2 linked regions of the Neurospora crassa OR74A genome follow. The protein of the gene in region 1 binds, or shares a complex with, the protein of each later gene. Links are inferred from orthologs where the notes say so. Each region holds a gene or a part of one and is shown on either strand. Other genes may lie near its edges.

The links.
Region 2: NCU03738 (region 1) and NCU07956 share a complex: the UniProt entries of both Schizosaccharomyces pombe proteins name them as parts of the small ribosomal subunit. The link is inferred for Neurospora crassa OR74A from reciprocal best matches to the Schizosaccharomyces pombe genes rps29 and pno1.

Annotation. Positions count from the first base shown.
Region 1 is NC_026505.1:2,254,176-2,257,636, reverse strand, and holds NCU03738 (40S ribosomal protein S29), read left to right. Parts: upstream 1-1,323; 5' UTR 1,324-1,448; coding exon 1,449-1,510; intron 1,511-1,794; coding exon 1,795-1,894; intron 1,895-2,114; coding exon 2,115-2,123; 3' UTR 2,124-2,669; downstream 2,670-3,461. Other genes in the region: erp38 (protein disulfide-isomerase tigA), read right to left, coding at 57-570; NCU03737 (elongation factor Tu), read right to left, coding at 3,253-3,461.
Region 2 is NC_026504.1:1,226,029-1,229,883, reverse strand, and holds NCU07956 (pre-rRNA-processing protein PNO1), read left to right. Parts: upstream 1-1,319; 5' UTR 1,320-1,570; coding exon 1,571-1,866; intron 1,867-1,934; coding exon 1,935-2,242; intron 2,243-2,305; coding exon 2,306-2,475; 3' UTR 2,476-3,079; downstream 3,080-3,855. Other genes in the region: pod-1 (mitochondrion biogenesis protein), read right to left, coding at 1-891; NCU07957 (hypothetical protein), read right to left, coding at 3,576-3,855. UniProt on the Schizosaccharomyces pombe protein: Required for small ribosomal subunit (SSU) synthesis. Has a role in the processing of early nucleolar and late cytoplasmic pre-RNA species.

The sequences.
Region 1 (3,461 bases):
TTTCGGTCGAAGATAGAAAGTAACAAAACAAAAAAAAGGGTTTGGAGGTTACGTACGGCCGCACCAGGGAGCAGTGAAAGCAACCAGGACGTTCTTGTCGCCGCCAATGGCGCCCTTGATGGTGGCATCGTTAAGGATGTTAACGAGGCTTGGAGCAGAACCCTTCTTCCTGGCCTTGACGCCGGTCTTCTCGGCAATGAAGTTAGACAGGCTGTCCAAATCACGTCCGCCCTTGTAGTCTACCGGCTGCTCGCTCTTGCCATCAAAGAACTTGAGTGTGGGGAAGCCCTGGACACCAAAACGCTTGCCCAGCGCTCTCTCAGCATCGGCGTCGACCTTGGCGATCTGGACCTTGTCCTTCGCGTACTCCAGAGCGGTAGCAAGCTCCTCGTAGACGGGGGCGAGGTTCTTGCAGTGACCGCACCAGGGCGCAAAGAACTCGACGAGGGTTGGCTTGCCGGACTTGAGGACGACATCGTCGAAGTTGGAGGGGATAAGGTCGAGGACGGCAGACTTGGCCGCCACGGCAGCAGCCAAGCTGGCTACCACCAAGCTCTTAAGAAGGACCATGGTGTGTGAAGAAGCGTGTGGATGAAGCTGATTATCGCAAACGCTCTAAAGGTTGTCTTGGAGAAGAAGGGAAGAGAAGACCAACAGGCACGAGATGTTGGTGGCAAAGGGACCTCAAGATGATGGGCAAGGTATCCTAAATTGGCAAAGCTCCAGATGGACTGTTTGAAATCAGATGTGACCTTCTCGGGGACCTAAGATGCCACTTTGCGCTTTGCTGGCACCTCGATAATTCCAGGTTGTCCGCCGGTCAGCAACGGACCACTGGTCGAACCATTGGGATCCTTGCCAGTTGGTCGTGTCAGCGCTCTTGAGCTTCCCCAAAATCCCCTGAAATCCGTCATCCGAGTCGATGGAGCCCCGCATGCTGCGTGCGGTCATTGGTGGGGCCTTCAAGTTCGTTGAAGCTCAAGTTGAGTCTGCTGTAGCCGCACTGTGTCTCCTAAAACAGTGCGCGAACGCGATAAGATAGGTAGAAGAGAACTATTGTTATCGATAAGACTTTTAGGCTGGGTGCCAGTACCAGCCACACATGGAGGTGGCCCTGCTGCGCCACTGAATTGTTCTTTCCTCTGCCTGGAGACGGACTGCACACTGCACCAGCCACACTCAGCTGCCACGCAACCGACTTGAACTGTGCACTGCGTGCGTGCCAAGCCCGAAGTGCACAAGCCCTGGCGGCAGTGGACGAGGGCCAGTTGCTGCCGGACCGGACCTGCGAAACCGCCCACAGAAAAATCTCGCCCCATATTTGGCAGCCCTCTTGCGAAAAAAACCACCTCCCCTCCCCCCCCAGCCCGACAGACCAAGTCATCGTCAACCCGCCGCCCGCACGACAACGATTTTCTCGCTGCGACAGCAAAACCCCGAAAATCAAGATGTCTCACGAATCCGTCTGGAACTCCCGCCCCCGCACCTACGGCAAGGGCTCCCGCTCTTGGTAAGGATTATTGTCCAGCAACACCAATTATCCACAATCCACAATCTACACATACATCACAGCTGAGCAAGAGATGGGAATATGGCATGGTACTTTGCTGTTTGGGGCAAGATCAATGCTAGGGCGATGTGGCTTTTTGAGGAAAATTTGAAAGAGGAGGAGAGTTCAGAAAACCAAGTCAAGAATGCGAAAATCACGGAGGAGGAAAATGCGGCTTCACCACTCAAGTTTGACGAAAACTGAAGTTCAAGTTGCTAACCGGGCGTTTCTTCAACGTTGTTTAGCCGTGTCTGCACCCACTCTGCCGGTCTCATCCGCAAGTACGGCCTCAACATCTGCCGTCAGTGCTTCCGTGAGAAGGCCAACGACATTGGCTTCACCAAGGTAAGAAGAGAAAACATTACGGTGGAGACGGGCGGAACTGCGCACGCGACTGGAAACAGTGGAAAATCCGCGGTGCCACAAACGAGAGAAGGGCACATCTTGCGGGAAAAGGAGAACCTCTACGGCCAAGGAGTTACAAACACTGTTCCCAGTCGCGTGAAGCAAGGGCTATGGGAAAAGAAACAAGACGCATGGCTAACTCGCTTGTCTTTTCTTGTAGCACCGCTAAATCCCCCCTTTCTTGACATGATGGGAGGTTTTGGTAGGGGACGATGATGAGGGGAGGACACAAAGGGTCACAGCATCATCACAGTCGAGTTCCAAATCGTTTCGTCATCTACGGGAAATGCAAAAAATGTCCAGCCAAAGCAATTTGTCTCGTTCGCGCGCGACGTGTGTCCCTATATCGTTAGACGGCATGCCGACGACGGAAATCTCGACAAAGATGGATTAGGGAACAACGACAACGAAAAAATGGGGGTTCAGCCTTGATCCATGACAAACTACAACCCGAGACGACACGACGACACTTGACGAAAACGAACAAAGTAGCAATGCTTTTGTTCATCATCACATCCCTTGGAGTTTTTGCTTGCTTTGCTTGGTTTTCTTTCGGGATTCGGGTTTTTGGGGCCTGCGGAGTCAACACAAGCAAAAGAGGAACAGGGCGGCGGACTGAGGAACAGCAGAGGTTAGACTCTGTCTGTTTCCCTCCCATCGAGCGATCAATAGACCGGCGTGATTCTTTGGTCAACCAGCATTCTGTCTCGTTCTCGTCTCCCTCTTCAGCCGTGATCTGTGACTTTCGTATGATTTGCGTCTAGTGTCGGTGAACAACTTGTGCGAACCTTGATGACCAATGGTGGTGGACTTGAGCATAGCAAGCGCTTGTCCATTGAATCCATGTGCTGCTCGGCTCACAAGTCTCAACAAGCACATATCCTATCTTAACTTGGTCAACCACAAGACGGCATGAACATTCGCTTAGTACGTTCTAGCTTCTATCATTGCTTTTTTGAACCATCTATATCACAAGCTTAACAAGACAATAAGAGAAGAATATGAGGGGAGAGATCATCACTAGGACCCAAAACATTCTTTGTACAAAATACATAAAAAAAAAGGCATTTCAGATCCATAAACATTCATTGCTTTACATCGTACACTGTAGGTATATTTCTCTTTGAACTCCTGACGGCAAACCCGCTTCTTTTGGCGGCTCGCGGTCCCTTTTTCCTTGCATATGTGCGTGTGTGTGTTTTACTACCTTACCGGGGCTCGTCTAGGCTCGGCTCGGCGTGATATATCATTACATAGCTTTTTACAACCTCAACATCTCACAGTGAGTAGTTGATAGCTTATTCCATGATGCGGGTAATGATACCAGTGGCGACGGTGCGGCCACCCTCACGGACGGTGATACGCTGACCGGCCTCGACGGCAATAGGGTGGCAGAGAGTGGCAACCAACTCGCAGTTGTCACCGGGCTGGACGATCTTGGAGTCGGCATCCTCGGTACCCTCAGGGAAGGTGAGCGAGACAGACTCGTCGGCGGAGCGGATGAACA
Region 2 (3,855 bases), on another chromosome or scaffold:
GGTAGTTGTGCCAACAAGAATCCAGACCAAATGACCGAATAAGAAGAAGGACACAAACGCTCCCCATTCGTCGGCGTTCCAGGGGCGCATGCTCCTGATGGAGAACCACTTGAATCGGACCTTGAGACGCGACCAGAACCCGCTTGCTGCCGCCAGAAGCTCTTCTTTTGTGGGCCGATGAGGCAAATGGGGGAGGTGAGGAAGGTGAAGGTATTTAGACATGGAATCTGCTATTGATTCATGTGCGGGAGTCGGCTGGGAACCAGAACCGGAAGCCGTCTCGGTATTCGGTGGCTGCTGTGGTTGCTCGGACTTTTGCTGAGGAGAAATTGTAGAAGACTTGGCTTCGGCCTTGGTCTCGTCATGATCACCCTTGGTCTCTTTGCCCGAACTTTGGAATCGCTTTCCTGTCTTGCATAACGTTGTGGTCGTGGTGTTCTGTCGTATCCTTCGCAAGAGTAAAGCCTGCCGAGCCAAGTGGCCCATTTTTGCCTTTTGCGCGGCATTGCCGGATAGTGCGGATGCCTCTACCGTGCTCGTTGGAGAGGGGCTGGTGGTGAGCCCAAGGAGGAGTAGGCCTCCGGAGGTACAGCTTCGTAGGACATTATGGGATGGTTGTGACTGTTGATAGTGTAGTCTTTGCGATTTTGTTGCTGGGAAGAAAAAGCGACTTGCGGAAGAGGTAAATTGTCGCGTGCTCTGCTGCTGTCCGTATCGCTGATGGGACCCCAGCGATGTCGAGGGGCCAAGTCCAAGACTTTGACGACTCAGTAATGGCTGACAAGTTGGAAGCAGTATCGCGGCTGTGAAGAGATTCGAGGTGGTGTGAAGATCTCGTACTGAAGACCATAGCTGGCGGCCCAGCTGGGTCGTCGTAGCGCTAGTAGACATTGTTGAAATTCATACTGTCGACCGAGTAAGGGACCGACCTGTTCCTTTTTTTTTTCCTATGTTTTCAGCGACGATGGTGATGACGACAGCTCGGTGCCGTATCCATGGTCGGTCCTCGAGGCTGAAAATCAGATGTTGTTGCTTGGTGGTGGGCCGAGTCTAGAATGACATATGATGGTGCTCCTGCTCTGACCAAGAACCTGGAGTTTGAAAAAGCTGCCGGTCCAGGTCCCCGTCAAAAGTGCGTCAATGACGCTAACCTTGGGATTACAGGGATTCCTCGGTAACTGTTAGTGCATGGGCGTTGCGATTGGCAAGGGTCCTAGCCCCCATGCAGCCAATCGATAAGCTTCACTTGGGTACTCTTTTGTGGATCCACTGCTTTTTGTCAAGAATTTCCCCTCTGCGCTATCAAAATCGATAAACATCAAAATTCTAGAGACCGACGGCGCAAAAAGGCAGAACTTCGACTCCCAGATCTCCGCAATTCACGACTGTAACCCAGCATCCCGACACTTCTTTCGTCGCCCGTCACCAGTCTCTCCTCCACCCGATTTTCGAAAAATCTGCCATTACTCTTGGCCGGCGATTTCCCAAAATACTACCGACTTTAATCAACAAACAACCCGACTCGGCCCCTTGACCATCACCCACCGATAAACAACACATCTCGCCCAACATGCCTGCGCCAACAGCACTTCGTCAGCCTGTCAAGGCTCCCGCCGCCCAGATTCCTATCCAGACCGAGCAAGAGGACGAGCTCATTCTCGATGTCAACGAGGCCGTCAACCTCACCGATCCCAGCGCCGCCGCTCCCCCTTCCAATGACCAAGATGTGCAGATGGCTGTAGACGAGGAGGGCCGCCCCCGTTTCGCCCCCGGCCAGGACGTCCAGATCATTCGCCGCGCAGAGACCAGGAAAATTGGTATCCCGCCAAACCGCATGTCGGCCCTCAAGGCCAATTGGACCAAGATGTGAGACGGAAAACTACGGAAACATGTGTGAATGTTTGGGCAAGGAAGACTGACTGTTTTCCAATCAGCTACCCCCCACTTGTAGAGCACTGCAAGCTCCAGGTCCGCATGAACATCAAGGAGAAGCGCGTCGAGCTCCGCTCCAGCAGACACACCACCACCCCCGAATCCCTGCAGATGGGTGCCGATTTCGTCTCCGCCTTCGCCATGGGCTTCGACATTGACGACGCCATTGCCCTGCTCCGTCTCGATTCGCTCTATATCCAGTCCTTCGATGTCAAGGATGTCCGTCAGACCCTTGGCCCCGATGCTCTGGGACGTGCGATTGGTCGTATTGCAGGCAAGGACGGAAAGACCAAGTTTGCGATTGAGAATGGTACGTTCACCATTATGGGAGAATGGAAGAGATGACGCAGAAGTACTGACAAGATGTGAAAAGCCACAAAAACCAGAATCGTCCTCGCCGGCTCCCGCGTTCATATCCTCGGTGCCTTCGAGAACATTGGCATGGCCCGCGAGTCCGTCGTCTCCCTCATTCTCGGACACCAGCCCGGCAAGGTGTACAACAACCTCCGGATCATTGCCTCGAGGCAAAAGGAGAGATTCTAAGCTCTTTCTTTCACGAAAAACGGCAACAATGTGTTACACTTCTATTGCCGCTATTCTCACCTAATGAATGGTTCACGCACGGGGCTGCATGGTTCAGTCAACAAAAAATCGACGGTTTTCATCACATAAGGGGCGAAGGTGGCATTTCGGGAGCTACGCTTAAAAAGGGTTCTGGCGTTTAGGAGTTCATTATGCTTTTGCTTTGAGTTTGGAGAGTTTGAAATGGGCGATTCAGTCAGTCATGCTGGGGATATCTACGAAGGTGTGTAGAAGCGGGAGGAAGAGGACGGGATATTGGGGAGCTACCGCCTTGCGAATCTTTCAATGTGTGGTTATGATCTATACCCGGAGGACGAGAAGAGAAGACAATGAACAGAGATATTCACCAAAAGGCGGTTTAGTGCATATTGGCTGGCAAGGTCGATTATTGTGCAGAGAAAGTGATGTGGGAAACTGATCCAGTGCGCTCATTTGGTTGAGGTTCAATTCCATGGTGACGGCAAATCAAGCAAAATGTAAGGAGCTGATGTGATGGGCACCAATGTAGCCAGGTGAGCCACGATAGATTGGTTTCTTCAGGTCATACAAGTAGTAGTTATTTCCATCCATTCTCTTATCTCGCTTGTTCCGCATAAGTAAAGGTCTTGTTTGTTTTACAGTCCAGATGGCGAACCGTATATCGAAATAGCAGATAGAGCATAGTCAAACCCCTCGATATTCACCTACGATAGGTGGGATGAGACCATCTTAACCCGAGGAGGCTCTTTTTGTGCTCTGACTGACCAACTCCCATGACTCATCAAGCTTGTTGAAATAAAGTGAAGGCAAGACGTAGCAAAAAGTGATATACGTATGGGTATCTTCTGAAGAGCTAGGGTACCACCTCCGCACCATGAACCGTGTCCTGGAAGGACTTGCAACACTCCAAACTCCGTAATCATCTGTCACAACTTTAAGCAAAAACAATAATCCACTAGTCACCGCCGATTTCGTAGGCCTGACGAATAAGCCCGGTAAACTCCAACCCCATAACAGCTAAAGAAATGTGCGAATAACGTCTCCCAAAACCCAGTCTCCATGTTTATTCTCCAGGTCATACACTACTTGATGTAGACCTCAAACTGATTGGTCTCGTCCCTCTCAATGTCCATCGCCCCAACCAGCATGTTCTCGTTCAGCTCCTCGCCGTCAAACTGTATCACGACAGTCTGCTCCGGCTTGATATCTCTCTGCTTCCGGAAAACCTGCACCATGGTACTGACCGGCGTATCCTCATAAACCGCGATCTTGAGCGGTTGGAGGTCTTTGGCCTTGAGTACCACTTTGATCTTGGTCTTCTTGACCTCAGCAGCCTCACTGCCACCTCTGGACCATCCATTG